3 linked regions of the Pelodiscus sinensis genome follow. The protein of the gene in region 1 interacts with the protein of each later gene in a biochemical or structural test. Links are inferred from orthologs where the notes say so. Each region holds a gene or a part of one and is shown in the gene's direction. Other genes may lie near its edges.

Evidence for each region.
Region 2: the proteins of SNTB1 (region 1) and TANC1 interact in a test that uses a peptide from one of them, tested with the Homo sapiens proteins (2 studies listed by IntAct, with this or other methods). The link is inferred for Pelodiscus sinensis from reciprocal best matches to the Homo sapiens genes SNTB1 and TANC1.
Region 3: the proteins of SNTB1 (region 1) and CYSLTR2 interact in a test that uses a peptide from one of them, tested with the Homo sapiens proteins (2 studies listed by IntAct, with this or other methods). The link is inferred for Pelodiscus sinensis from reciprocal best matches to the Homo sapiens genes SNTB1 and CYSLTR2.

What each region holds. Positions count from the first base shown.
Region 1 is NC_134712.1:21,361,784-21,371,708, forward strand, and holds the start of SNTB1 (beta-1-syntrophin), read left to right. Parts: upstream 1-5,109; 5' UTR 5,110-5,577; coding exon 5,578-6,142; intron 6,143-9,925. UniProt on the Homo sapiens protein: Adapter protein that binds to and probably organizes the subcellular localization of a variety of membrane proteins. May link various receptors to the actin cytoskeleton and the dystrophin glycoprotein complex.
Region 2 is NC_134717.1:32,484,404-32,494,351, forward strand, and holds the start of TANC1 (protein TANC1), read left to right. Parts: upstream 1-5,027; 5' UTR 5,028-5,134; coding exon 5,135-5,160; intron 5,161-9,948. UniProt on the Homo sapiens protein: May be a scaffold component in the postsynaptic density.
Region 3 is NC_134711.1:289,116,466-289,127,197, forward strand, and holds the start of CYSLTR2 (cysteinyl leukotriene receptor 2), read left to right. Parts: upstream 1-5,797; 5' UTR 5,798-6,161; intron 6,162-10,732. UniProt on the Homo sapiens protein: Receptor for cysteinyl leukotrienes. The response is mediated via a G-protein that activates a phosphatidylinositol-calcium second messenger system.

The sequences.
Region 1 (9,925 bases):
GGGGCTACACACCCCTTAATTCGAACTAGCTAGTTCGAACTAGGCTTAATCCTCGTAAAATGAGGTTTTCCTAGTTCGAACTAAGCGCTCCGCTAGTTCGAATTAAGTTCGAACTAGCGGAGCGCTAGTGTAGCGCCTATCAAAGTTAATTTGAACTAACGTCTGTTAGTTCGAATTAACTTTGTAGTGTAGACATACCCTGTCAGAGTCCCTTACCTTCCCCACCTAGTCTAGCAGTGTTGATGTTCTCTTTACCAGCTAGTCTCTTTCCTTATCAGCGCTCACCTCCTCCAAACGCCTCTTCCACTCTCTCCCTCTGGGGGGGAGAGGGAAGGCTTTTTAAAACAAGGCCTCATGGCAACCTTAAGTGAAATCAGCTATCCCTTAATTTATTTATAGCAGCCCTGCCTGGGCCGTTATCACTACACCGGAACTCCAAGAAGTGAGCTGTTTCTAGCTGCCCTGAAGTTAGGAGAGGGTTTTGTGCTTTTTAAAGCCACCTGTGCCCCATCTAATCTAGTCCTCTAGCCTGACCTTGTCTCACACACATACATATATTTTGCCTAATGATCCCTTAAACCATGGCTACACTACAAAATTAAGCTGGCCTAATTTACATCAGCATACAGCCACCAAGGTACATCGCTTGTGCATATCTTTACTTTGCTTCTGTATCAGCAACAGTGCCGGCCCGAGCCATTCTTGCGCCCCGGGCAGCGGGCACGTGGCGCATGTGTGGCCCTGACCATGGGCACGCAGCGCCCCTTACAACTGCAATCAGGCGCCCCCTATAGGTTGGCGCCCTGGGCAGCTGCCCGGCTAGCCCCCCCTTTTAATCCAGCTCTGATCGGCAATGTGCGTCCTCACCAGGAAGGCATATATTGATTGTCCTGGCAGGGTAGGGCATTGTGGGACATTTCCTGCAAGCCAAAAATAATTGATGTAAGCAATGCAGCATCTAAATGACACTACGTTGACCTAATTATATCAACCTTACATCTACACTGCTCCTGGAGGTGGAATTATTGAGTCAGCATTACAGGGCAGTTACATCAGTGGGAGGAAAATTTAAGAGTAGACACTTGCATAGTTAAGTCAATATTCACTTACTCTGTAGTATAGACCAAATCTTAGCCTCAGCCCACAGTCAGCTTCTCCTATGGGTTTGCCCTATGGCCCATTGCTTTGGACAGTGCCTTCTATAGTTTTCAGCTCTCTCGCTGCATAAATGGAGTTAGTTGCTCCTTCCATGAAGCCCAAAAGAAGAGTGCTTAGCATATCTATCAGTGTTCACCACTTTGGGGAATTATATAGTTTCAGTTTCAAAAGCCAGCTGAAGACAAAAGCTGATTGCTTCCCATTGCTTAAAGAAGACTTTCCCCCAGGATGGGAACCCTTTTTTGGCATTCTCCATTCCCATGGAAAAATACCAGGTTCAAAATGTATTTCAGTACCAGGTGGTATGGTCACATGTTTTTCTAGGACCAATCATCGTTTGGGCTTACAGGCCAAACAAGGCTATTCACAGGTTATGAAGTTGATTACTGAATCATTAGGTTTCCAGAGTATCAGTGATGGCTGCCTTTAACACATTTAGAACTATAAACAGATCCACACTTTGTATTTTTAACGTCACACACAAGAATGATACATGCACCACAATAGGATATATACATTCAGCAGATTGTAACATGAAAATTATTAGGTTACATGAGGTATTTTGCCTTAAGCATTTTCGAGGTATGCATATTTATACTCACAAGTCAATTCTCATAAAGCATGAGCAGGGGCATCATAAAATGATTGCTGGAGAATTTCAGCTAAAAAGTTAAGTTTCCAGCTCTCATGGCTGCAAAGAAAGCTTGTAATTGTCATGAGTGCACCCTAATGACTCAAAAGCCACAGGGCCAAGAGCAGAAGCTTGCACAGTTGGCAAGTTTTTGAACTGGAAGCTAAACATGAAATAACAGACTCATGCTGTAAGGGGCAGACAGGCATAACTGGTTCTGTCTCACAAGCTACTGTGCACTCTAGGCCCAGGCCAGTTGAAAGCCACTGGCTTAGGACTCTACAGGCACATCTACACAGCACCATTATTTTGGAATAATGTCAAGCTGGAGGCCTTCTTACTCTGATTCCTGTAACCCTCATTTTACAAGGAGTACGGAAGTCGAAAGAAGTGTGTTCTTGCTTCGACTTCCTGCTGTGTATACAGCACCAAAAGCTGAATTAAGCTATATTGACTTCAGCTATGCAATTGATGTAGCTGAAGTTGCATATCTCAATTCGATTTTTGCCGTGCTGTGTAGACATGTCGTACTGTGCTTCTTCAGCAGATACAGGGATTCAGAGCAGAGATTCTCTGACAGGAAACACTTCCTATGTGCACCTTGTCATGCAGAGTAACAGTTGGGAACATTCCTTCTAATTTGCAATAAGTGACGTTTCACTGCCCTGTACATTAGTGCAACTGTATTTCAATTTCCTCATCCCTTAAAAAGCATTTCTATTGTGCCGCTTTCTTGTGTCTATACAGCTTAGTCTATGAAAAAATAAGCTTGCATTTCAGCTATCCTGTCCTAACCAACATTGCTCCATCTACTTCCCTAGTAGTTGTTTCAACCCCTTATTATGTCTTGTAATGCTAGACTGAAAGCTCTTTGGGGGAGAGGCTGTGGCTCGCTAGGAGTCTGTCTACACAGAAAAGAAAAAATCTGCAGCTGGCCCATATCAGGGCTGTTTTGCTGCTGTGTAAACTTTGGGGATTGGTCTGGAGCCTGGTCTCTGGACTCTCCCACCTCAAATAGTTTGGATTTAAATGCAACTGGTGTCCAGAGCAGAACTCTGATAAATATTTTCAAACCCGTTGGGCTGAAGCCCTGGGTCCCAGCGTGCCCTGTGGGGCTACAGTCCTGAGCCTCAGCACCTCTGACAGGGCAAAAGCCCCAGCTCCCAGCACTGCCTATTGGGCCGAAGTCTCAAGCTTTGGTGTGCACGAAACTGAAGCCCTGAATTCTGTTGCCTCCCTTGGGGCTCGTTTCCTGTCCATGGAAGGCAACAGGGTGTGGGAGGGTGTCGATGAGGCGACTGCTGCTGACTCCTCAGCCACGCTTTCTGGCAACATCCATGCTGCACAGAGGTGGCCACCATCATCTGCATGGGTGGCAGGTGAACCCCAGGCTCAGGGAGACTTGCCCCTGCCTGTTCTGCCCAAGGTCCCACACCTTCTTTCTGAAGCCTAGCAGCCCCCCTCCCAATGCTGGCAGCCCCCCCCCAAGACCTGGGCCACTGTCCCTCACACCCAGTGAAATGGGTTGCCAGTGTAGCTCCCCACTCCAACCCCAGAGCACCAGGCAGGTGAGTAGAAGGCCATGCTCTTAAGTGTTGGATAGTGGGAGCATGCTCCACCCCCCAACATGCCAAGTGGGCAGGTGGTGCGAGGCTTTCCCCAGTCCAGTGCACAGGCCAGCCTTCATTAATCCCAACCTGGGCCCCCAGCCATAGGGGGAAAAGTTCCCCACAGCTAGGGCTGGATTAAGACCTTTAGAGACCCTAAGCACTGAAAAGATTATGGTGCCTCCCCATATGTAATTCAAAAGAAATACAATACTATACCGTACAATAAAATTTTATTTTTTGAAATGACACAAAACTTACATGTATGTTGAAATTAAAATGTCCACTTCCATACACAATAGGGAAAGTGAATCAAGTCTGTCCTGACACATTGTTGTTCTCTGAGGGTTTTTTATTCTTTTCAGCTGAGAAAAAGAGCGTTCTGTGGAGTTCTGATTTTTCCCATGAGGACTACTTCGATGCTTTTTTTGAAATATCAACTTTAAAAAAAAATCTCATTTTTTTTGGTGCCCCTGCTTTGCTGGTGCCTAAACAAGTGCTTTGTCTGACTATTGGGTAATCCAGCTCTCCCCACAGCAGTGAGAAGTGACAAGGGGCCTGGGTGCAGAACATGTCCAGGGCCTCACAAGGCTATTTGGGGAGGCTCCACCTTTCCCTGCCTTCAGTACCTACCACATATAATCAGATGGTAAAAGAAGTAGCTGTGTCTTGTTCCCCCCCCTTTATATTGTCCCTTTCCCAGTATCAGGAGGTGTGAATTGTGTATTGCTGTTACCACTCAAGAAAGAGATATTGGAGTCTCTGTGGATAGTTCTCTGAAAACCTCCACTCGGTATGCAGCCGAAGTAAACACTCCCCCCCCCCCCAAAAAAACCTAGCAAATATTAGGAACCATCAGGAAAGGTATAGATAATAAGAAAATATATGATACCACTGTATAAATACCTGGTATTCCCACACCTGGAATGCTGTTTAAAAAAAGATAGAATTGGAAAAGTACAGAGAGGCAACAAACATGATTAGGGGAATGAAGCAACTTCCCTATGATGAGAGAGTAAAAAGACAGGGATGGTTCAGCTTTGAAAAGAGACAATTACATGGATATAGGATTGAGGGAGAAAATTGTGAATGGTGTGGAGAAAGTAAATAAGGCAGCGCTGTTGATTCCTTCATTCAAGAACCAATAGTCACACAATGAATTTAACAGACAACAAGTTTAAAACAGACAAAAGAAAGTTGTTCTTCACACAATATAAAGTCACTCTGTGGAACTTGTTGCCAGGGGGATGCTGCAAAAGCTCAGAGTATAAATGCATTAAGAAACGTATTAAATAAATCCATGAAGGACAGCTCCATCGACAGCAGATGCAACCCCATGCTCTGGGTGTCCCTCTGCTGCCAGAAGCCGGGACTGGATAAGAGGGGATAGATGACTCCATAATTACCCTGTTCTGCACATTTCCTCTTTAGCATCTTGCAAAATTTGCTACCAACAGACGAGCTACGGCGCCAAATGACCCCAGATCTGGTCTGACCCAGTGCGACCATTATGTTCATGTTCTGTCCCAGGCTATGCTCTGTTAGTGGTTAGTAACACTGGCTCAGCTGGAGTGAATGCAAAGGGAAAGCGAGGCAAAGTGGAGAGACGGGAAGAGGGGAAGGGGCTTCCCAGACCTGGGGCGGTGAGTGGGGAGACTGCCCCCAGGAAGACATGGAAAGTAACTCGCTGGGAGAATGGGGCTGAGCGCGCCGCTGGGCAGACCGGAGCTAGCGCTGGGTCAGGGAAGAGACGCGTCTGCGCGTGCTGCCGCGGGGCGAGGAGGCCAGGGTTCGCTGGGGTGCGGAGCGGACGAGCTGCCCCCCAGGCGCTCCCTGCTGTGCGCGTTTCTCTCCTCGGGGCCGGGAGGGGGGAGCAGCGGGCGCTGACGGGCCGGGCAGCAGGTGGGCGAGCGCCCTGCCCGGCTTGGGGCGCGCCCGGGGCTGCGCTGCCAGGGCCCCCCCCCTCCACGTGCCGCCCCGCAGCAGGTGAGCGGAGGTGGCGCCTGCGAGGCAGCCGCCTGGCCGGGCGCTGGGCGAGCCGCGGGCTTTGCTCCGCCCCCGGCCGGCGGGCGCGGCTGGCGGCGCTCGGGGCGCTCCCGGGGCGCAGCCCTGTCCTGTGCGCGGCTGGCGGGCTGGCGGCCGGGCGGTGCAATCACATGGTGCGCTAAGAATGCTCCAAAGATGGCGGGAGCGGCAGCGGCGGCCGGCGGCCGGGCGCAGCAGCGGAGCGGCTGGCTGGAAGTCCTGGTGCGGGACCGCTGGCACAAAGTCCTGGCCAACTTGGGCGAGGATGCGCTGGTGCTGAGCTGCGAGGAGCGCGCCGACGGCGCAGCCCACAACGGCGTCGGGGCCAGCGGCAACGGGGTGCCCTGCCGGGGGGCGGCCGCCGCCAGCCCCGAGCCGCCCGGCGGCGGCGGCAGCCCCAAGGCGGGGGGTGGCCCCGGGGTGCGCACCGCCTTCACCGAGCTCCCCGAGCAAGTGCCCGACGCCATCTCCAACAAGAAGCGGTGCGTGAAGGTGCTGAAGCAGGAGCTGGGCGGGCTGGGCATCAGCATCAAGGGGGGCAAGGAGAACAAGATGCCCATCCTCATCAGCAAGATCTTCAAGGGGCTGGCGGCCGACCAGACCCAGGCCCTCTACGTGGGAGATGCCATCCTGGCCGTGAACGGGACGGACCTGCGGGACGCCACCCACGACGAGGCGGTGCAGGCGCTCAAGCGGGCGGGCAAGGAGGTGCTGCTGGAAGGTAAGGGGTTAAAAGGAGCCCGGCGGCTGTCCCTCTGCCCCAGGCCTTGCACACTGGGCAGTGGGTGATGAGCAGGGGGAAAGACACAGGACTCCTGTGTGTCCCAACCACTCCCCTGCCCCTGTTAAAAACTCTCAGGGGGTAGTTTTGTGAGTCTGCAACTTTAAAAAACAAGTGATCCTGTAGCACCTGAGAGACTAACAAATATATCGAGAGAGTATCATGAGCTTTGAGACGCTGGCAGGGCAGGGTGGATCCTGCTGTCCATGGGACAGCAGTAGGTAAGGGGTTTTCACCCCTGCAAAGTTGGGCCTTCTTGCTACCTGTTCTCTGGCGTGTTTATTGAGGGGGCAGAGGGAGTATATCCTCCCTAGAGTGCCCAGATCACAAACGCCAGGGCTGTGCGTGTCTGTGACTTGGAAGTAAAGAGTTAATTTGGTTTTACAAGCAGCGCTAAGATCCTTAGGCGTCCTGCTCAACTCGGAGCTTGTGAGAGGGGACAGCTTCCCCAAACAGATCGGATGGTAGGTTAGCGGAGAGATCCCCGCCTATGGCTAGGGAAAGCTAGGGGTTAATTTGACTAAAGAAACTCCGGGAACCCCAGCGCCAAGCTAAGGGCTTTGCAAGTTTCACTATGTGTATGTTAAAAAAAATAAAAAAAGGGAGGAAGAGGAAAGCCAGGTCACAAACTACAGTACAATGCAAACCTGAACGGGACATAAAGAAACTACCTGCACTTCCCTGGGCACAAGGTTGAGAGATTTTAAACTCTTGTCAAGGGGGAGGGAAAAAAAGTGACAGAACTGCCTGAACTACTGAGATCGTCCACATTTTGACATTTGGTAGTGTGTTAAGTGACAATTATCTGCAGGATCTCCAGCCTGGGGCTTTGCAGCCCTTTCTGCAAAGAGACATAGTTAGCAAACCCTTCCTAAACAGCTCCGATAATCCAAGACAGTGTTTGTCATGTTGTGTTTGACTAACAAAGGCACAAAAAAAGCAGACTTCAAATCCAGAAGGCAGAGAGAGAGTTTGACTATTACTTTTGCTCTGCAAAAAGGCAAGAGAAACAAGCAGATCACATCACATAGGGCTATGGCAACTCTGTGATTTGAAATGACTGAAATTTACACATACACACCCTTCTTAGTTCATCCCAGGAGAGAAGGGGAACAGATGTGATAGAAATTGGCAAATATCTCATTGAAACGTTTGTAGGGGAAAAAACCACAGACTGCGGTGAGATGATCTTTTAGAAGCCACCTTAAAAATGGAATGCAAAAGAAGCGAGTCTTTGAGGGTTTTGGCACAGACTGTATGAAAAAAGAGCAAAAAAGAAGAGAGAATAAGTTAAAGACCGGAAAGAAAGTTCCATTGATCTCAAGATTTTTGGGGGGAGGGTAGTTGAAGAGTCTTTTCCAGGCGAGTTAATTTAGTTGCTAGACCTGAGAAAAGGATCAGCAGAAACAAATATGCCTATTGCGTGTTAAACAGAAAATGCCCTTGGTATGCATGTGTGTGTTTGATAAAGTGCCTATTTGTACATAAGTTCATTTAACCAGCAGTTCTTGACCTTTGAGTCATTAACATTTGTGGAGCGAGGTGGTGAACCTGCTGCTATTCCATGTCTCCTATCTTAGTTTGAAATGGATTTGTTCAGTCATTTGCAGCCTGTTCGTCCTCTGGTTCTACTAAACAACAGCACAGTTTCTGATTTGCCTCTCTTGAGTCACTGAAAAATGGTAACACTTCTTGGAGGAGCTGTGGGAGCCAGTGCTAAGAATTATGGGATGCATTTGTGGATCAGTTGTAAATACCTGAATATAGGCTTGCGATATGGAAAGGGGATGAGAATCCTTGGTTTAAAACCTTATAGCGTCTGTGGGGTGAAACACAAGGCATTTCAGATTACTCTGGCTGTGAAAGTGAGGAGCTGATCAACTTTGCATCTTATAACAAGGGGACCTTGTCACCCAGAAGAAATTAAATATTTCTGAATTGTTGGGTTCCTGTTTGTCAGGGTGTTATCTAATTGTCCCCTTTCTTTACCCAGCAGTGAAATAGATCACAAAGGTGTACTAGGTCAGAGAGCAGAAAGGGAGACACTACTGTGGCCGAATTCCATCTTTAGTGATAGATTACAGCTGTGTGGTCCTACCTATGGACAGAATTTGACCTTTGGTGTTGTCTAATGATTAACATAGCAAATACTGTGTAATTTTCTTAACTATTTTCCCCTATGCAGCCCCTATACACAAAACTGGACATGCAGGTGTGCAACACTTATAAAAAGTCAGTGTTGTTCCCTATAGGAGCAAAGACCAGGGACTCAGTCTGCTCCATTCTCCTTTTTAAAGCCTTATTGCAGCAGCTGCCTTTCGCTCTTTCCTCCCCTGAAGTGAGTGCAGATGCCTTATTTCTATAATAGAATAGCAATGCATTTTAATGTCACCCCAAAGGATGACTGATGCTGAAATACTTACATTGGGCCAGGTCCCCTGGAGCAGCTGAAATCAGAATCTCCCACAGTGTCTCCCAGAACCCACTATTCAGGTTAGCAAGGAATCAGCGAAGGACTTGTTCAAACAGATAGCTTAGGACAGTTTTATCAGAGCTAGTATCCCACTTTGAAGATCACTCTTTAAAGATACCATATAAAACATCCCTTTTATGACTGAAGCAAGGAAAATCAAAGGTGCTTGAAAACTTTTGGTTTTAGTTTTGAAAAAGGCTGACACAGCTGGACTGATCCTGCTTAGCTAGTGCAGTCCATGGGGGGAGGGGTTGCTGTTTGTGGGAACTGGATTATGCCCTCTGTGATTTACCTTACCTTCCTAGAGAGTTCTGTATTAAAAACAGCAAGCTCGCTGCAGGAAAAACACACAGGTATGCAAGAGATGATCCTCCCAGAATTCTCTCCCATTAAAAACAATTGGCAGAGCAAAGGAACATTGCTGGCTGCTGTGCCAATACATTAGTTCTTGTGTCTTGAAACGTTACGCTTCTGTTGGGGAAATAATGGAACTTACTCAACCCTGCTGGGCAACAGTATCTGCAGGGGCAAGTTCAGTGCAGTGGCGTTCTAAGGGCCTGATCATGAAAGGTGCTGAGTGCTTTCTGCTCCTAATTTGAAGTGGGTGAGGCTTGCGGGCACCCAGCATTTCACAGTAGTGGGACTCTCATTTTGTAAGATGTCCTCCACAGAGACACTGCAAAAATGCTTGACCAGCTATATGGTACATTTGCTAAGTGAGAGCCAAATTGTGGCCCATCCTGCATGCCGACACAAGGGCTTAAGGAGATAGAAGGTACCTCCTTATTCCCCCAGCTTGCCACCTGAATCATGGGTACTAACACGAGAGAGAGAGCTGCGTATATGGGGCGGGCTCCTGCTTCCTCTCCTGCATGGATGTAGGGAATGCGGGGTGCAATCGTGATGGGCCTTAGCTGTAACCCTTTCTCCCCAACTGCATCAGCTAACATTTCGGGGCCGGTGGAAGGGGATGTCACCTGCACCAGTATAGGGAAAGCACAGCATATTTCTGCTTGGGCAGCAGAACTGTGTGCTGCAACTTGCTCAGGATTTCTGGCACATGCCCAATCTCTAACTCTTCTAACAGGAAAGCAAACAAGGCCAATTTATAGTGTATGATTAACATAGATATTTGTGTAACCTACTGGTCAGTATGTGCTGTGTCCCCCTCTGCCCAATCCCCAGAGGATGAGAGTCTGTTACAGAAATCTGAAAACAAAGTAATTGAGGCAGAGAGGATCCTGTTTTCC
Region 2 (9,948 bases), on another chromosome or scaffold:
CCCAGAAAATGTGGAATGGGTACAAGTTTAAGAAAAGATAGCATTCATCAATCAAGTATGTAGCTTCTGCAGAGAAAGGAAGAACCATACTTTTCCATTAAATATGTCAAAGAACTAATTAGGTTTGAGACTATAAACCCTCTGCTATAAAAAGCTTACTTAACAGTGTATATATAACTACCCACGTACATCAGATTCATGATATGTGATCATTTGTGTTTTCTCCCTTCAGAAGAGAACACATCACCACCACCACAAGATGAACATAGATGGTGAGCCAATGAGGACACTTACCACCTTTGGCTCATAAGTGAGCCAATGAGGACACTAATTCAAAAGTTACTCAATGTATTGTGAGACCAGTGCCAACAAATGAGTAACTTGCAGATGTATCATAGGCCTGTTAAGGGGAAAAGGTATTTTAAAAAAGGATATGTGTGTTGGCTGGTATGTTTTAATTATATGGTATTTTAAAGTGTATTGGCACACAAGGTAGATAGTATAACAGAGGGGTGGGCAATAATTTTTAAAAGGCGGCGACTTCAGAAATTTCTGAAGTGGTCCTGGCCACTCTGCAAGGGGCGTGGCCTCAGTCGGAAGGGGAGGGGACAGGAGACTTCTTGTGGTGGAGCCTGAGAAGTCTTCCTTTTTCCTCCCTCCCCTGTTCCCTAGAGAAAAATGCCAGCTGTTTTAAAACAGCTGGTGGTGCCCTATAGGCGCCTAGTGGAAGGAGACCTTGCATGCTATCATTGCCCCCAGGCCAATCTGGACCTGGAAGCAGGGCAGCATGTGAAGTGTCCTCACCTCCTCAAGAGTGTGCGGTGGGTAGGAAGACATGCCAGCTGTTTTAAAACAGCTGGCACGTCTCTCTAGCCCAGGGATGGGCAAAGGGCCCTCTGAGGGCAGGATCCAGCCTGCCAAGCCGGTGGATCCTGCCTGTAGCCGCCCTGCCGCTCCCCCACCCCCAGGCCAATCAGGACCTGGGGGCGAGGGAGCATGTGAAGTGTCCTCACCCCGCAAGAGTGTTTGTGCAAAGCTCTCTCGCACCCCCCACCAAAGGAACGGGTCAGCTAGAGATAAACATGGCTCTTTTAAAATAGCTGGTGTGTGTGTCTAGCTGCTGCACGCTCTTGCAGGTGCAAGGAGACTTAATGTGTTTCCCCCACCCCCAGGCCTTGATTGGCCTGGGGGTGGGGGAATGGCAAGGCGGCCGTGGGCCAGATCCACTGGCTTGGTGGGCCAGATCCTGGCCCACGGAGGGCCCTTTGTCCATCCTTGGTGTAATACCTTTAAAAGTGTTAGGTGAGTGTGGCATGAGAGAATTTCCATTTGTTCAGTTATATCTTAAAAACCTAATAAATTATGTACAGAAATCAAGTAAAATATTGATTGTAAAGTGAAGCAGGAAAAAAAAGTTAGGAATTGACAGATTTTAAAGTTTCCTGTGGAACCTAAATATGTCCCTTGTTTGTGTATGTATTATGGTTCAGTCTTTCATTACAAACAGCAGAACCTGAGTTAACAAATACCAGAGTTGCAAAATGAGCAGTCAAGCTCTTTTGGAACTCCAGCAGGGCAAGAGACCAAAACAAAAAGTGCAATAATGTGTTCAATGTAAACTGCTTGAAGGGAAGGCTTTAAAAAAATTCACAAAGTAAGGAAACAGTTTCTGTGATTGTTTCATGTAAAATTAAGAACTAGCATTTTTTTCCTGCTCAGTAAAGGTTCATAGTTGTTTTAAGTCTATATTCAATTATAAACTTTTGAAAGAACCACCGTAGTCATGTTCAGAGATGCGAACATTTCAGATTTAGGAACAACCTGCATTCCCTTGGGGATTGCAAAGCTGAGGTTCTACTCTACTGTTTGTTTGTTCAAAACACAGTGTTGTACAGGTAGGGAAAGGATGTTCTCTAGTGTTTTAGAGTTTGTCGACATTAAAATGCTATGGCACCACAGATGTGAACCATAGTGTAGACACTGATGTAGAATTCTCCCATCGGCATAGGTAATGCACCACCCAAAAAGGCAGCTAAGTCAATGGATAAATGTTCTGTCAACCTAGCATTATCTGCACAGGGATTTAGGGGTGTGAATTTTTTATACCCCTTAGTCACAGTAAATGTTTGGCACGTGTTTTCAGCCCTGCATTAGAGGCTTAGTTTATTTATACATTTCAATCTTGAGACAGCAAGTGTTATTTCAACTCCATATACTTGTAAAACCAGGTTAAAGTCACAATACAGCTTTCCTATAGTAGGTGTATGCCTGCAGCAATAATTAGGAAAAGCTACTGCACAAGTATTACCAGTATTTACAGTAGGTGTAAACACCTAACACAAACGTCCTTTGCTGGGAAGAAAAATCATTCAAGAACACTTGGAAGTTTATTTTAAAAGGTTGAATAATTTACCAAGTTCTGCTGCATGGATACATGCAGTATGTCTAGCTTTTCAAACTTCATATGACCAGGGTTCAATAAACTATAGAATCTACTCGCCCATGGCAAGTAGATTTCAGCCGCGTGTCTCGTTTACCGGCGATGCACGCATGCGCAATGCGGCTCTTGCGCATGCGCAGTGCGGGGCTGGCGAGCAGCTTTCGCCACTGTTTGTCAAGCCCTGCATATGACTATATGCATTTAGGGAAAAAATTGTACCTTGTAGCATATCACATGCCCACAGAGCGCTGCACAAATTCAATTTATTGATAGATTTCTGAAGTAATATATTTCCTGGACAGTGTTTTTAAAGACAGGAAATGTCAGCAACAATTTCCTCATAGTAGGTAGGTTTAATAGGGGGAAGGAGGCTTTTTTATTAAGAAGTTTGACAATCTACTAGAGACCTGATATGGGTTCAGATTTAGGCTGAACCAGGCTAGGACAAAGGGGTAGAAGAGGAGGTAAACAATAAAAGAACATAATAGCTGGTTTATATACTGACAGATCTCACACTAGGCAGATGCATCTTCAAAAGCTGGATCATCTGTTATGGTAGTGGCTGGATGAGAGTTACAGACCAGTTTACCATAGACAGGACTTCAAAAGGTAGCTTTTTAACATCATTCTGTGGAAGCACAGAGAGAGCAAGTGATTTGTCTAAGATCGCACAAGAAGTCTGTCAGGGTGTATCTACACAGCAAGACTTAACTTGAAATAAGCTACACAAATTGAGTTACGTCAATTGCGTAGCTTGTTTTGAAATTCAAATTGGGAGCGTCTACACAGCACTTATTTCAAAATAGAGCACTCATCCTTTGTCTTCCCTTACTCCTTGTATGATGAGGGTTACAGGAGTTGGAGTAAGAAGTCCTCCAGCTTGACAGTATTTTGACATTATTTCGAAATAACTGCCTGCTGTTTAGACGTGGACTAAGTTATTTCAAAATAACGTTGCTGTGTAGACGTACCCTCACAGAGATGGGAATTTAACATGAATGTCCTGAGTCCCCATTGAGTGTCTTATACACAAGATCAACCTTCCTGACTCTCTTTTGTTTGTTTGATTCTGTCATGTCACTTACTGAGTCAGGGTTCAGCATAGACTCCTTCAGTTGGAACTAGCAGAATAAAGGAAGGAAAAATCTAAATGGCCACCCTGCAACTCAGAAACTAATAATTAATAATTAGATTAATGCTTTCCCTCCACCACAGTATTTTATCAGAACAACAAACTATCAAATAGATAAAATAATCGCACCTTAAAGACTAACAAAGCGTAGATGGTATCATGAGCTTTCGTTGGGCATAACCCACTTCTTCAGATGACTGGAGTATTAAAAATCTAGATCAAAGAATAAATAAGGGGTAGGGAGAGGAAAAAGGAGAAAAAAGGGGGAAGGGGTAAAAAGAGAGAGTGAGTGAGTAGGTGGTTCAAATAATTACAACAGGCTGATAAGAACAGTTAGCACCTCCATTGTTTGGTTGGTTGGTGAAGCCATTAGGATGTGGAAGGTAGTGTGGGAGCCAGCCAATGTCCCTGTTCATACCATTTGCATAAGTAAATGAAGTTAAGTTCCAATCCTTCCCTGTGTATTTGGCTTATGGAATTGGCCTGAAGCAACACGATGTCTTGGAGATCCATTAATGAGTGTCCATCACTTTAATCTGCCTGGATGTCAGCACAATTTTCAGTGCTGTCATGAATTTAGTTTTTATTGCTTTCTTATGTGTCCAATTTTCTCTTCATTTGTAAGCCTATTTTCAGGGTGCATCTACACTGCACCCGCAACTCAAAATAAGCTACACAATTTGAGCTATGCAAATTGTATAGCTTATTTTGAGAAAATAGCTTATTTCAAAATTTGGCATTGTCTTCACAACACTTATTTTGAAATAAATTGCTATTCTGAAACATCCCTTACTCCTCGTGGAATGAGTTTACAGGGTTGTTGGAATAAGGAGCCTGTTATATTTCAAAATAATGGGCATGCTCAGAAGATGTGGAATAGCTATTTGGGGATACTGGAGCACTGTAGACATAGTGTCAGTGGCTAGCTGTTTGGTCAAATGTGTCTCACTAAACTGCTTTCTCTCTCTGTTAGTCTTGCCAGACTCTGTGTCAGGGTGAAATCAAGACTTGAGCTTTAAATTCCTCCTATTTTTCCCTAAGTGGGAAATTATATTTTACTTTTTTTGCATCCTAGACATCACACCCTTCTGTCTTGAATAAGATGCATTTATTGTTTGTTGGTATAACAATAAAGACTTATCTACCTATATAAAATATTGGACCCACATTTTCATAAGTAACTAATGATTTTGGATCCCCAAATTGATAATTGAAAATCAGACCTCTTGTACATGCTTTTATATAGGTGCACACAATCGCTAGTTATGTTTGAGAACTTGGGTTTAGTACATTAAGAACTTAGAACTACTGTAATGTAATACATAAGATTCCTCAAAGGGCATATGAGTCTTGTGGCCTCTACCCCTTTTGATGCATAAGGACTTGTCTTCACTACACAGTGGATCAACACTACAGTGATTGATCCACCAGCGGTCTGTTATTGTGTCTGCTTAGATGGGGGAGTGCTCAGAGGTCGATTTATCACATCAGTTTCGGTACTTCATCAGGACAAGAAAAGTAGCCAGAGTCAACGAGAAAGCAGCTCCTACTGACCTTACTGCATGGAAATACGTCAACTTCAGTTAAGGTATTTTCGTAGCCTAAGTTGCATAGTTTAGATCGATGTGGATGGGGGAGTGGTGGATAGTGTACATGGTATATTTTTCTCTTACTAAAATCTTAGCCTATGTTTTTCAGACCCCTCCCCCACAGTGTGGAAGGTACACGCTATCTGTTTTTGGTATTGGTTGATATACCATTTTAGACTAGACCTCCCTTAAAAAGAAATAAATGTCTTTTGTGTCTATTGATGTACCTAAATTTTTAGAATTTTAGGGAGTGCCTCGTGTTTAGAAAAGTAGATGATCTTTAATAATTATATGAATGGATTTTATTTCTAATATTTTATGTGAAAGGGATATCAACTGGTGATCTGGGATGAATATGCTAAATGGAACCATCTTTTTTCCATATGTTTGAAAGTAATTTCTACATTCTGGATATTGAAAATTGCATATAAATTAGTAAGGATGCTAAATTGTGTTTAATCAGATAATTGAGTCATGGATGGAATTTCTTATTGGCTACTCAGTTAGACAAAAAGGGGGGAAACTGCATAGCCCCAGTGGGATTATCTCCTGGAACCCGCTGTGGCTCTGCCTTTTGAATGTAGTTGACTACTTGACTAGTTGCTTTCTTCCCTGTAAATTGGCCTATTTGAAAATGTTCCTATAAACGTTGCCATTGAAAAGGAGCTATATTTTTTTGGTATTTCACTAATTTTTAAGAATTAATAGTGATTTACCAAGGAATTTTTTTAAAAAGTGAGGTTGGGGAATACTTTACAGTTGCTTTATAATGATTAAAGAAGACAGGAATGGTTGATGGATTGGATTACATTTTTTTAATCTTTTTTTAAAAATTAAAACCCATTAAGTGCCTATGACCAGGATCATCACATAAGTGTTTAAAACTTTAAAAATACCCTAATTAAGCAGTTTCTTACCATCACAATAGATAACTCTTCAGTCTCTTGGTGTGTTGACATTTCATTAGTATTTTTTTTCCTTAGTGATCATACAGTCTTCGAGGTTAGACAGAACCTGAATTTGTAATCTTAACCCCTTTCCCCTTAAAAAAGCAATTTGTGTGCTTTTAGCAAAGAAATTAAAAAAAAAAAAATTCCCAAACATTCCTTATCTAGATATAAATAGGAGGATAAGAGGGCATAGGGGACCATGCCCAATTTCCCCCCTCTTTTACAGGGTTACCTTTAATGAGAATTGTGGGGGCCCCCCCACAGGAGAAAATGGTGGCAATGATGTTGTAGTTGAATGTTCTGAAAGTCACACATTTTATTCAGTAAGCTCTATTATTTACAAAATGATAAAGCAGTTTAACACCTGGATTTCTGGTAAAGTTGCATATCGATAAAAGAAACGGATACATTGTCCAATGTTTTCTTTCATATGTTGCCAGGGTTTTACTAGAAGCAGTAAAAGAAAACAACCAAATGGAAATTTCATAAAAAAAAAAAAATCCTGACTAATAGATTTATAAGAAGGACGGCAGCGTTACCCATCAGTATCCATTGACTGGATTAGGGATGTTAAATTAATTAACTAATCAAATAGTCGAAGGGATTTCCATTGACTATTAGATTAGTCTATAAGGGCGCGCCTCCCTTGCTACAGTTCAAAAGCGGAAGCTCCACAGTGAGCACGGGACTAGCGGGGGACTCCATTGGCCCCATGTTCCTTGAAGTGCCTTAGCCTTTGAAATGTACAAGAGCCCCAGCGAGGATCTTGTACATTTCAAAAGCAGAAGCCTGGCTCCTGGGACTCCCCTGCTGGCTCCATACTCCTGCAGTGTCTGAGCCTTTGAAATGTACAAGATCCGTGCTGGGACTTTTGTACATTTCAAAAGCAGAAGTGCAGCAGAAGCAGTGCAAGCGGAGACTGCTTGCTGATAGAGGCAGCGGGGGGGGAGGAGGAGGGAGGGGAAGCTACTGGTTACATCACTAGTCGACTTGTTGCTTACATCCCTAGATTAGATAACTGTTAGTTAAAAGGTATTTTTGTGTAAATATCGCCACTTTAAATACTAAAGAAACCATAAGAAACCATGATTTTAAAAAAGGCTGTCTCTTCTCTTGCTGTGTGACTAGATATGGTCTGGGAGTACTATGAAAACATCATTCTGAGTCTTTGCACATGAAAGGGGGACTGTCATGTTGGTTGACAGTAATCAGTGCAACCTATTAAGAAGTGGTACTGACAACTTTTTTTTAAGCGATCTTCTGGTGAAAGGATTGTGGCCATAACATGGTATTTCAGGAGTGAAGATTATGGAAGCATTGGTGGAAACAGTTGTGATATATGGTCATTAAGGGAACGTCTAGTCTACATGCCTCTGTTGCCAGAGGCATGTAGATTAGGCTACCCGACATAGGTGATTTAAATAATCGCCGCTTCTTTTAAATTTAAATTTACATGGCTGCCGCGCTGTGCCGATCAGCTGTTTGTCGGCACAGCATGGTAGTCTGGACGCGCGGGGGTCGATATCAAAGGCATCTGTCGACCTCCCATGTATGACGTACCCTAAGGTTTCACAGAAGAACTAAGGGGACACTGGGGACTCGGCAGAAGTAATAGGCTCAGATAATGCAGAACTTTTTTGCAACTTACTTTTTATCTAAGGGAGTCACTCCCTAACAATACCATTGCTCTCAATAACTCCATTGCACCATAGTGGATTTGGAGCAGTTTTGTGTTGTCTTGAAATAATTAAACCAATATGTGGACAAAGTTGAAACTAACGCAGAATATCCTGGCTTAAACTAGAAGTTGTCCATAATGAAAGCTGTGGGTCCAAACAGTCTTTGTGGATCAGGCCAGTTTACAGTATTCTGAGCTAATTCAGGGAGAGGAGAACATCTTGCAAAATATTACTTGTGTGTGTACCCTTATAAGGTGCTGGAAGAGAAAATAAATGCACCTCTCAGGATGCTACTAAGAAAGTCTGAAAGGTCTATTAAAACTATTCGTGAAAAAGGAAGCTCTCCAGTGCTTGTCGATGTAAAGGATAACTGCTTATTTTCCTGAAAAATGGTATTGATTCTTATCCTCATTCAGAAGATGGCATGATCTTATTGGAAATCCCCAAATGCTAAGCTTCATGTAATATTTGACTAAATGTTGGAAAGACTTAAAAGGTAACCACAGAGTATAATTCCTTGTGGCTGAAACTCCCAAGACTTGACTCCACAGTTAACAGCCTGTGCTAAATTCTCCTCTCATCCCCTGAACTCCAGTGTCTTGCCCAAAGATTTATTGTACCAGAAAAGAGACTAAACTCTGAGGCACAAAAATAAGTTAGCAACCACTTAGTTGTGGCCTGAACACTAGCTACTTTTATATTTTTCCAGAGTGGAAAGGGAACTTTCAGACAGATGAAATAGCATCTGTCCTATTACCCAGATAAGTCATGATTTCCCCACATTCCTTATTAACCTTTGTCATAATGGTAGCAGCAATTAGAGCGAGGATCTCTATTCTCCTATTTCACTTAACTGGCTTGTCCAGCCTCTATGAGCAGTGATCATCAAAGAACTCCAGGAGTCACTGATTTCAAAGCCCCGTGCCTGAAACATATTCAGTCCACAAAAATTATTTCGGAAACTGGACTCCTGTGTACTGAAGGGAGAGAATACCCAACTCTCATAGGTTAAGTATTTGATTCTGTGGAACGTGATATTAACTGTCAACACAAGAATTCAGATAAGGATTCAATCATCCACCTAAATAAGGGATGCACTTAGTAGCTACTCTGGGGATGTCTACACTGCCAAAACAAACCAACCCTCCTGATTTGTCCCCTTAACCATCCACAAAACCTCAACCCGTGTCAGTGAGAGAGAACAGAATGGAAGTCTTAATATTGGCACAGCCAAGCAGGTGAAATCCCTGGAACGTGCTATGGGATCTGGGATGAATGTGTCAAGTTCCAAATGCTAGCTGGAGAATTCAACAGGGGCACCAGGATTGCACATACAAATATGTTGTAGATGGTGATGAAAAGGAGCCAGCACCTTTTCAGTTGGACTAATGATGTTAAGTAACGGTTAATTTCCTAGTCAAGTAGTCAGTAGAATTTCCATCAACTAGTTGATAGGCACTTCTGCATTTCTCCTTAGAAATCTACAAGAGCTCCCACTGGGGAAGTCCCACAGGACTCTGGGCTTCATGCAGCCAAGACGGACGGTATTTGAAAGGGACAGTGCTGAGCAGGGGATCAGCTGTGTGGTGCTGCCCCTTTGAAGTATTCCTTCCCCAATCCCCTTTGCTGCCTCTATCTGATAGAGGCAGCAAGGGGGAGGGCGGATGCAATGGAATCAGCTAGTTGACTAGTCAACTAGTCCTTAACATCCCTAAGTTGGACAGTTGTGTTTTCTGTACAGGCAGTCCCCGAGTTACGCGGATCCGACTTATGTCGGATCCGCAGTTACGAACGGGGTTCCTCTCCCTGGTCTCCAGCAGACCAGGGAGAGGAAGCAAAGCGGCGGAACACGTGGGCAGCGGACAGGGCTGTCCACTGCCCACGCGCTCCGAGGCTTGGCTCTGCTTTGCCCCCCCCCCCGTCCCCCTGGTCTGCAGACCAGGGAGAGAGGGGGGCAAAGCAGAGCCAAGCCGCGGAGCGCCCAGCCAGCTAACAGCCCAGAGCGTCTGGGCTGTCAGCTGATCGCGCGCTCCGCGGCTTGGCTCTGCTTTGCCCCCCCCCCATCCCCCTGGTCTGCAGACCAGGAGGACGGGGGGGGGGCAAAGCAGAGCAAAGCCGCGGAGCACGCGGGCAGCGGACAGCCACGGCGCGTCTGGGC
Region 3 (10,732 bases), on another chromosome or scaffold:
ACCATGGTACGCACACATCTTGAATACTGCATATAGATGTGGTCGCCTCATCTCAAAAAAGATATATTGGCACTGGAAAATGTTCAGAAAAGGGCAACAAAAATAATTAGGATTTTGGAACGGGTCACATATGAAAAGAGATTAAAAAGACTTGGACTTTTCATCTTAAAAAAGAGAAGACTAAGGGGGAGATATGATAGAGGGCTATAAAATCATGAGTTGTTTGGAAAAAGTGAATAAGGAAAAGTTATTTACTTATTCCCACAATATAAGAACTGTGGGTCAGCAAATGAAAGTAATAGACAGTGGGTTTAAAACAAATAAAGGAAATTTTTCTTCACTCAGTGCATAGTCAACATATGGAACTCCTTACCAGAGGATGCAGTGAAGTCTAGAACTTTAACAGAATTCAAAAAAGAGCTAGATAGATTCATGGAGGGTAGGTCCTTCAATGGCTATTAGCCAGGATGGGTAGGAATGGTGTCCCTAGCCTCTGTTTCTCTGGAGGTGAGTGACAGGGGAGGGATCACATAAGGATTACCAGTGGTGATCTCTCCCTCTGGGACATCTGGTATTGGCCACTGTCAGCAGACAGGATACTGGGCTAGATGGACCTTTGGTCTGACCCAGTATGGCCATTCTTATGTTCTTATAGTCCTATTACATTGTAAACAAACTAAATGGCTGCATCTAGACTGGCATGATTTTCCGCAAATGCTTTTAATGGAAAAAATTTTCCGTTAAAAGCATTTGTGAAAAAGAGCATCTAGATTGGCATGGACGCTTTTGCGCAAAAGCACTTTTTGCGGAAAAGCATCCGTGCCAATCTAGACCTGGTTTTGCGCAAGAAAGCCCCGATCACCATTTTCGCCATCAGGGCTTTTTTGCGCAAGAGGGCCAGTGTAGACAACGCGGTATTGTTTTGTGCAAAAAAGCCCCGATGGCGAAAATGGCGATCGGGACTTTCTTGCACAAAACCGCGTCTAGATTGGCACGGACACTTTTCCGCAAAAAGTGCTTTTGCGGAAAAGCGTCTGTGCCAATCTAGATGCTCTTTTCCGCAAATGCTTTTAACGGAAAAACTTTTGCGGAAAATCATGCTAGTCTAGACGTAGCCATGGGATTTGAGTGTGTGACTGGAAAAGTAAGATGACCACATAATAGTGTTTAGCCTACTGCAGGGGTGGCCTACCCATTCCAGACAAAGAGCCACAATAGCAGTGGAGACAGCGTGAAGAGCTGGGGTAAAGTTGTTGCTTTTTATTTTTTTTTTTGGTTAACTTTTCCCCAGGTCTTCACGCTGTCTCCACTGTTATTTTGGCTCACAAAAAAAGCACTGGGTAGGGGTGAAAGGTGCAAGTTCTGGGAGGGAATGTGGGTGCAGGAGAAAGTAGAGAAGAGGATGCTGGCTCAGGGAGAGGGCTCCAGGCTGGAGAGTGTTGGGGTCAGGTGGAGGGTTGGGGTGCTGAGCAAGCTACAGGCTTGTGGCTGTGAGGATGCAGGAGTTTGGCTGGGGTGCATGAAGGGCTCAGGGCAGGGAGGCTGGGAGTAGGATGGGCTCAGGACACAGATTTGCAGTGTGTGGATGGTGCAGGAGTGTTGTGGCAGAAGACTGGGGATGTGGGGGTGCAGGAGTTTGGGGATGTGAGAGGCTCAGGACAAGGAGTTCCAGTGTATGATAGGCTCGAGTCTGGGGTCAGGGAGGTGCAGAAGTGTTATGATGCTGCAGCCAGATGGGGGCTTGGCCCCAACTGGGGGCTTGTTGGCCAAGCTTCATTTTTAAATAAAATATTATGTCAAACACAAAAAGTTTCAGCGTTGTCTTTATTAATGAGAGGGGCGGGGAACCTGTTTTGAGTCAAGGGTAACTGACCCACAGAAAAGTCAGTTGGGGCCACACAAGTGAGATGCGCAAAAAAAAAAAACTGCTCCAAAACCCCTCCAAGCCTCACTAATGTGTCCCCAACTGTGCTAGGGAAGGGTTTGCTAGGAGAGAGTTTTACTGCAGAATGACCACAGGGGGCAGCAAGGGGCCAGAGATGGGGACCAGGACAGCTATAACTCCATTGGGGCAACAGGGGGCAGAGGTGGAAAAAGGGAAAGCTGTCTACTATATATTTCAAAGAGTTTGTCTGTTTGTGTGTCTGTCTGTCCCCCAGCTGGGGGGACACGCACCCCTTCCCCACCTGTGCCTGTTGCAGCTGAGCATGGACAGGTGCTTCTCACCTGCTCTCACCTACTGTGACAAGAGAGGTCTGGGGTTGTCCTCTCTCCCCAGAGCAGCCTGCATAGGAACATCTCATCTCCAGTCAAAAATCCCACTCTTATTATTATATATGATATTTAGAAAACAACCATTCAGTAGTAGCCTAAACATGAGGAGCCTACACACACTTGGGGCATAGAAGTCCAGCTCATTTACTCAAACCATTCCTACTGTACTGAAAATTACTGTTTGTTAGAACATAGAATCATAGAATCATAGAATAATAGGACTGGAAGGGACCTCGAGAGGTCATCGAGTCCAGCCCCCCGCCCTCAAGGCAGGATCAAGCTCCGTCTACACCATCCCTGACAGATGTCTATCTAACCTGTTCTTAAATATCTCCAGAGAGGGAGATTCCACCACCTCCCTTGGCAATTTATTCCAATATTTGACCACCCTGACAGTTAGGAATTTTTTCCTAATGTCCAATCTAAACCTCCCCTGCTGCACTTTAAGCCCATTACTCCTTGTCCTGTCCTCAGAAACCAAGAGGAACAAATTTTCGCCTTCCTCCTTGTGACACCCTTTTAGATATTTGAAAACCGCTATCATGTCCCCCCTTAATCTTCTTTTTTCCAAACTAAACAAGCCCAGTTCATGAAGCCTGGCTTCATAGGTCATGTTCTCTAAACCTTTAATCATTCTTGTCGCTCTTCTCTGTACCCTTTCCAATTTCTCCACATCTTTCTTGAAATGTGGCGCCCAGAACTGGACACAGTACTCCAGCTGAGGCCTAACTAGTGCAGAATAGAGCGGCAGAATGACTTCACGAGTTTTGCTTACAACACACCTGTTGATACAACCTAGAATCATATTTGCTTTTTTTGCAACAGCATCACACTGTTGACTCATATTCAACTTGTGGTCCACTATGACCCCTAGATCCCTTTCCGCCATGCTCCTTCCTAGACAGTCGCTTCCCATCTTGTATGTATGGAACTGATTGTTCCTTCCTAAGTGGAGCACTCTGCATTTCTCCTTATTAAACCTCATCCTGTTTACCTCTGACCATTTCTCTAACTTGCTAAGGTCATTTTGAATTATGTCCCTATCCTCCAAAGAAGTTGCAACCCCACCCAGTTTGGTATCATCTGCAAACTTAATAAGCGTACTCTCTATCCCAATATCTACATCATTGATGAAGATATTGAATAGTACGGGTCCCAAAACAGACCCTTGAGGAACTCCACTTGTTATCCCTTTCCAGCAGGATTTAGAACCGTTAACAACAACTCTCTGACTACGGTTATCCAGCCAATTATGCACCCACCTTATCGTGGCCCTATCTAAGTTATATTTGCCTAGTTTATCAATAAGAATATCATGCGAGACCGTATCAAATGCCTTACTAAAGTCTAGGTATATGACATCCACCGCTTCTCCCTTATCCACAAGGCTCGTTATCTTTTCAAAGAAAGCTATCAGATTAGTTTGGCATGACTTGTTCTTCACAAACCCATGCTGGCTATTCCCTATCACTTTATTACTTTCCAAGTGTTTGCATACGATTTCCTTAATTACCTGCTCCATTATCTTCCCTGGGACAGACGTTAAACTGACCGGTCTATAATTTCCTGGGTTGTTCTTATTCCCCTTTTTATAGATGGGCACAATATTTGCCCTTTTCCAGTCTTCTGGAATCTCCCCTGTCTGCCATGATTTTTCAAAGATCATAGCTAAAGGCTCAGATACCTCCTCTATCAGCTCCTTGAGTATCCTGGGATGCATTTCATCAGGACCTGGTGACTTGCTGACATCTAACTTTCCTAAGTGATTTTTAACTTGTTCTTTGTGTATCCTATCTTCTAAACTTACCCTCTCTCTGCTTGTATTCACTACGTTAGGCACACCTCCAGACTTCTCGGTGAAGACCGAAACAAAGAAGTCATTGAGCATCTCCGCCATTTCCAAGTTCCCTGTTACTGCTTCTCCCTCCTCGCTAAGCAGTGGGCCTACCCTGTCCTTGGTCTTCCTCTTGCTTTTAATGTATTTATAAAAGGTCTTCTTGTTTCCCTTTATGCCTGTAGCTAGTTTGATCTCATTTTGTGCCTTTGCCTTTCTAATCTTGCCCCTGCATTCCCGTGTTGCTTGCCTATATTCATCCTTTGTTAGTTGTCCTAGTTTCCATTTTTTATATGACTCCTTTTTTATTTTGAGATCATGCAAGATCTCCTTGTTAAGCCAAGCTGGTCTTTTGCCATATTTTCTATCTTTCCTACACAGCGGAATTGTTTGCTTTTGGGCCCTTAACAACGTCCCTTTGAAATACTTCCAACTCTCCTCAGTTGTTTTTCCCTTCAGTCTTGCTTCCCATGGGACCTTACCTACAAGTTCTCTGAGCTTATCAAAATCTGCCTTCCTGAAATCCATAACCTCAATTGTGGTGGTCTCCCTTCTACCTTTCCTTAAGATCATGAACTCTATTATTTCGTGATCACTGTCCCCTATTCTGTCTTCCACTTTCAAGTTCTCAACTAGTTCCTCCCTATTTGTTAAAACCAAATCCAGAACAGCTTCTCCTCTGGTAGCTTTTTCAACCTTCTGAAACAGAAAGTTGTCTCCAATGCAGTCCAGAAACTTATTGGATAGCCTGTGCCTCGCTGTGTTAGTTTCCCAACATATGTCTGGATAGTTGAAGTCCCCCATCACCACCAAATCTTGGGCTTTGGATAGTTTTGTTAATTGTTTAAAAAAGGCCTCATCCACCTCTTCCACCTGGCTAGGTGGCCTGTAGTAGACTCCTAGCATGATATCACCCTCGTTTTTTACCCCTTTTAGCTTAACCCAGAGACTCTCTACACAGCTATCTCCTACGTTCATCTCCACTTCAGTCCAAGTGTGTACATTTTTAATATACAAGGCAACCCCTCCTCCCTTTTTTCCCTGTCTGTCCTTCCTGAGCAAGCCGTACCCTTCCATACCAATATTCCAATCATGCGTCCCATCCCACCAGGTTTCTGTAATACCAATGATATCATAGTTGTATTTATTGGTTAGCAATTCCAGTTCTTCCTGCTTATTACCCATACTTCTCGCATTTGTATATAGGCATCTAAGATACTGATTTGATCTTGCCTCCCTGTTGTGCCCTGACCCTCCTTTCTCCTTGCCATTATAGGCCGTAGTCCCCCCCATTTCCAACCCATCTCCCAGTCCCGCACATTCAGCACTTACCTGTGGGCTTTGCTCACCTGCCCCCGACAAACATCAGGTGATTGAATCCAGAACTATCTATTTCTATATTAAGGCAATGTTTACATATCTCTAAAACTAGGGAGATGATATGAAAAAAACAAAGAGCAGACGACTGTAAGCAGATTCAGTTATGCAGGAATAGGTAGGGCCTAGAAAGCCAGGGAGTTGACAACAGGGGCTGCTTCTGGGAAGGCAATCACCCTCCAGGAAGAGGGAGGAGTGTTTAGAGACTTCTGAGCTGCGTAGGCTGCAGTCACTCCCTGAAGGAGGGTTTGTGGCAGTTACTCCCAGAGAAAGGTGAGGAACCAGGAGGACAGGAAGCAGTGTCGGGAAGGAGCAGTTAGGGCGAGGAGAGGAAAGCCCAGAACTTGTGGATATAGGGTCTCTGGACTGGAAGCCAGAATAGAAGGTGGGCCTGGATTTCCCTGCCTGCAAGGGAAGGAGTGGCACTAGAAGCAGCGAACAACAAGACTGCTTGTGACGGATGAAGGAAAGACTTTGATATACCCCTTTATATAGTCATTTGGAAAGGAAAAAGCTGAGTGATCTAGCTGGAGGGCTGAATCACAAAGAGGATGTCATCATTCCAAGAATGAGAGAGAAGCAGCAAGCCTGAGCAAAAGACTGAGTGGTGGTATGCGACCATAGTGTTGACCTGATGACCTAATTCCCAGCATGACCAGAAGACACCAGTCTAATGGTGAGTGGCACACCATGTGACACTGCTCTTAATCAGTACATTCAAAATTCAGAGCTAGACTTATTAAGCCATTTCCTTTGCTCCCAATTCAGAAGTCACGTTCCCTGTGGCCCTAACTTAGATGAAAAAGTGTTTAACTCCCGTGTTTGTGTCCTATGTGTTTCATCCTGGAGTTAGTTTATCACCCACTGTAAAGTAACCTTAATCACAAGTTTCACAAGAATCTTACATTAATTATTTGAGTACACACTTCCCACAGGTTTGATGAAAAAGGCAATAGGTGTTTGCAGTGGTGCAGTAGGCCAAAAGAAGAGCCTTAGGGAGACTCTACAAACCCACAGACAGTCAGAAAGGGCCTGTGGGGAGCAAATCAGGGTGAGGATGGCAGATAGCCAATCAGAGCCTCTGTGAGGCAAAGAGGTAGACTTTGGGACTGCAGTAGGCCACGGAGGCAGGTTTAGAGCCAGGAAGACTACAGATTCCTCCAGAAAGGGGGAGAACAGCGTTGGGGGCATAGCCAGAGGGTAGTGTTATGAAGTGGATGCTATGGTCTAAGGGACATCCAGAACCAGATGGTGGAGACAGGTGAATGAACAACAGATGAGACCAGCCAAACACAGCACACTCAGGATACCTCTACACAGCAGCATTATTTCAGAATAATGGATGTTATACTGAAATAACAATGTTATAACAATGAAATAACAATACACATGAATTCTGTTATTTCAAAATAAATTTGAACTAACAGACAGCTTATTCCTACTTCTATAAACCTCATTCCATGAAGAATAACACCTATTCCGAAATAGCTATTTCAGAATAGCATTAGTGTGGATGATCCACTGCTGCTATTTCGAAATAGCCCCTCCACATGACCATTCAAAATAATTACTCCCTAGTGTCTCCTGGGGTTCTAAATCGAGGTAGCATGTCCACATTAGGGAAGCCTACTTCGGACTAATTTTGAGGCTTTCCTTTAGTGTAACCGTGCTGTTTCAAAATAAGCTATTTTGGAGTATTTCTTCCAGAATAGCTTATTATGAAATAAGCATGCAGTGTAGATGTACCCTCAAACTGGATTAAGCTAATTCCCATACTTGCCACCAGGAGGCACAGTGGTGGTGAGTCACATACCACTACAGTGTGATACAGGAATAGGAAGGGGCTAAAATATTCCATGTTGGCTTTTGGAAGAAATGTTTTTGGATAGTGGATCAATTTAGGTCATCACAATTTAAATTAAACTGAATTTAAAGGTAACAGAAGGCTTTATTATATTTTAAACCACAAATTGCTCATCCTGTTGAATAATAATAACTATTGAAGTTTTGAGTTCCGTTAAACTAAAACAGCTAAAAATGAAAGCAACAAATGAAGTGTACTGCTCAATTAAATGCCTGTTCATTTTCACTGCACATGCACATTTCACCATCTGTGTTGAGGAAAAATAAACATTGCCGCTTTATGACTGATTCTGAATAGATCACTAACTGTGCATAAACATCAATCTTTATAAGGCCAGATGGTGAGTCTTAACCCGTAGTCTGTGGTTGGAAGTGGGAAGAGAATTGAGGTACAACGCATCAGCAGGAGTCTCAGGAGGAATTCTTGGCCCTAATTCCTTAAGGGACATCTGGGCAGACTAATGCTTGTTCCCTTTTAATTGTATTTTAAGTGCACTTCCCCTCTATAATAGGCTGGGTTTGTTGTCTGGTGTAAGGGCCAAGAAAGGTGGTATTCCTGACCTAATGGGAGACTGGAGTGGCTAGTAATGATCTCTGGGAGTAGTATCTGTGTTCCTGAATTAGACACGGACAGTCCAGTCACTGCATGCATGAAAAGGCTCTGTGCAACCTCTTTGGAGTACTACAGAGTTACAGTTAAACCTATTCCTGAGCAGATGGTCAACTAGGAAGTTAGAGCATCTTGTGAACTTAATAAGCATGTTTAATGATTTCACTGAAAGTACAAATTATGATAGTACATATAGAGGTGTATATGAGTACAACTAAATAAGTATCTGAGTAATGTGACTGTGAGGTGTATATATAGTCAAAGGGGTTCTTCCCTCCATTCTGATTCAGTGAGGTTTTATTTTTGATCAGCAAAGCCGTTATTTGGATTTTACTCCTGTTTACTGGTTTATGTCAATTTTAGGAAAACCTATTCTGATTCTTTCAGGAAAAAGGTTATCAACTTCACTGCTTGATATTTATTAGTACCCAAACATTTGATTCAAATGTATAGTACATTTCCCTCTCTCTGGTAACTTTCTTATTTGAACAAAAATTTCCCAACCATCCTTTCACATAGCAGCACACAAAAGCTATTTTTAGGAATCTCATCTGGATCAGATCAGTATTTAGTAATTTACAAATGTATACAAATGACTGAAACTGCAAGTTTTCCCCTCAGAATTCCTAAATCTTAAATTTAATTCTGGCTGTCTTTTGCTATAGACTTCCTGAGTTTTTTCTGGTTTGGATTTTTGTGGTTTAGGGATGTAATAATTTTCTTTATTGGTTTAACATACTCTTTGAATTTACTGATAAGACACTTCAAAACACATACTTTACAGTCTACAAACAGAAGCCACGTAGCCTTAGCTAAGCCTCAGAATAAACTTTTCAGGGCCTTTTTCAAGAGTAGTTAATGAACAGTTTATGTTCAAGTTTATGTTCTTGGACAGTTGTTAATATTATCTCCCCATTTGGTATGAATTGCAAAACCAAAGCTCCATTGAATTAAACAAAGATTTATTTGAAGAATGCCTTGTTATGCTAATTAGACTGCAAGGAACATTCAGTGCAAAATATCCCAGAGTACAACATTATAACACATGAAATCTAAGGTATGTGTGATGTCATAGCGTGATGCATTCTATGATATTTTCAGTGGAAAAGGAAAAACTTAGAAGATTTAAGAAGAAGAGCAAACATTTAAAGTCAATGCTTAAATTGAGTTTAATTCTCACTATACAGTTCATTACTAAATCAGATTACATGATCAATCAAAAAATAGGCTGCTATCTTCTGTTAGTCAAACATTATTATGGTCCACTAGATGTTCCAACAATACTAATTCAGTTTCATCTTGCAATCCTTGTCTGTTGAGGAATTTCCACTTACATTATCTGGATGTACTTCAAAAGGGGATCACAGAGTCATCGAACTGGAAGGGACCTCAAGAGGTCATCAAGTCCAGTCCCCTGCCCTCATGGCAGGACCAAGTACTGCCTAGGTTGTCTCTGACAGGTGTCTGTCTAACCTGCTCTTAAATATCTCCAGTGATGGAGATTCTACAACCCCACTGTAATTTATTCCAGTGTTTAATCATCCTGACAGGACATTTTTCCTAATGTCCAACCTAAACCTCCCTTGCTGCAAAAAGCTGCACATTTTGTCTTCAGGCAAAACATAGAGTTGAATTCTCACAATAAAATGACTGAGCTTTCCTCATGTTAGATACTCTTCTTTCTTCACAATTATTGCTGATAGCTCTTATAACACCTATCACTCAAAGTCTGTCTCTGTTTCCATTAATTTAAAAAAACTCCCAAAGGTTATTCACAGCTGCTTTGGCCAGCCCATTATCTGGGTGTCTTCTTTAGACTTTGTCAGATGTTGGCTGTGGAGAGCCAAATATTTTGAGAACACCATTCTACTAAATCTTCAAATCCACCTTCAAGCAACTTGATCAGCTGTTCAGAGGAAATATTACTTAATCCTTATCTGTTGTACAATCATTCGTTCTAGTCTTTTGTGAATATATAATCTAAAACTGTGCAGGATTGGGCTACTGACTGAACTGTTAATACACTGTTCGGCAGAGTGTCTGCTGAACTCTGGCAGTTGAAGGGTATATTATTTCTGTAGATTTTAGGATGGGTGCACTTGTTATAACAGAAAATAGTAGTTTTTCCCTGTATAGAACTGACCTAATTTTCAAACAGTATCAGATATTATAACTTTTTAAAGGGAGAAAAAAAAACACAAAGCGACAGGCAGCTAGCTGTGTTTATATTGAGGGACAGTAAAGCTGGCAGTGAACCAAGGAAATGCCTAAATGGCTCCCATTTGCTGGATAGTTTTCGAATGTTCACATTCCACATTTTTGTCGACTGGATATGAGGAATTTGAGATAAATCTCTTAAATGCAGCCTAGAACTGACTAGATACTGCTGCAGTATCCACGACTTAATAAATATTATATCTAACTAAGTTACATACAAATGGCTCTGCTTAGTTTTACCAGCTCTGACTGCTTACAAATAGGGAAAGGCATTGGAGCATTTTTCTAGCTCGATCAACTCCTTGTGCTGGATATTGAATTTTAGGAAGTATCTGGAGGCTTAGGCTCAGGCATATAATCAAGATGAGTACACCTTGTTAACACAAATTAGAGCAACCTTGTCCTGGTTCCATTCACCTCCTATGGCTCCTCTTCTTGTTCGCTTTGGGGATTAGCTCTTTGCATGTCTGATACCTCTGTCTGTTCCTCTTCTTGTGGTCCCTTTCTCTGGAACTTGGAAAGTTATGGGTGTCTAATTGCAATAGAGCAGTGGTCTC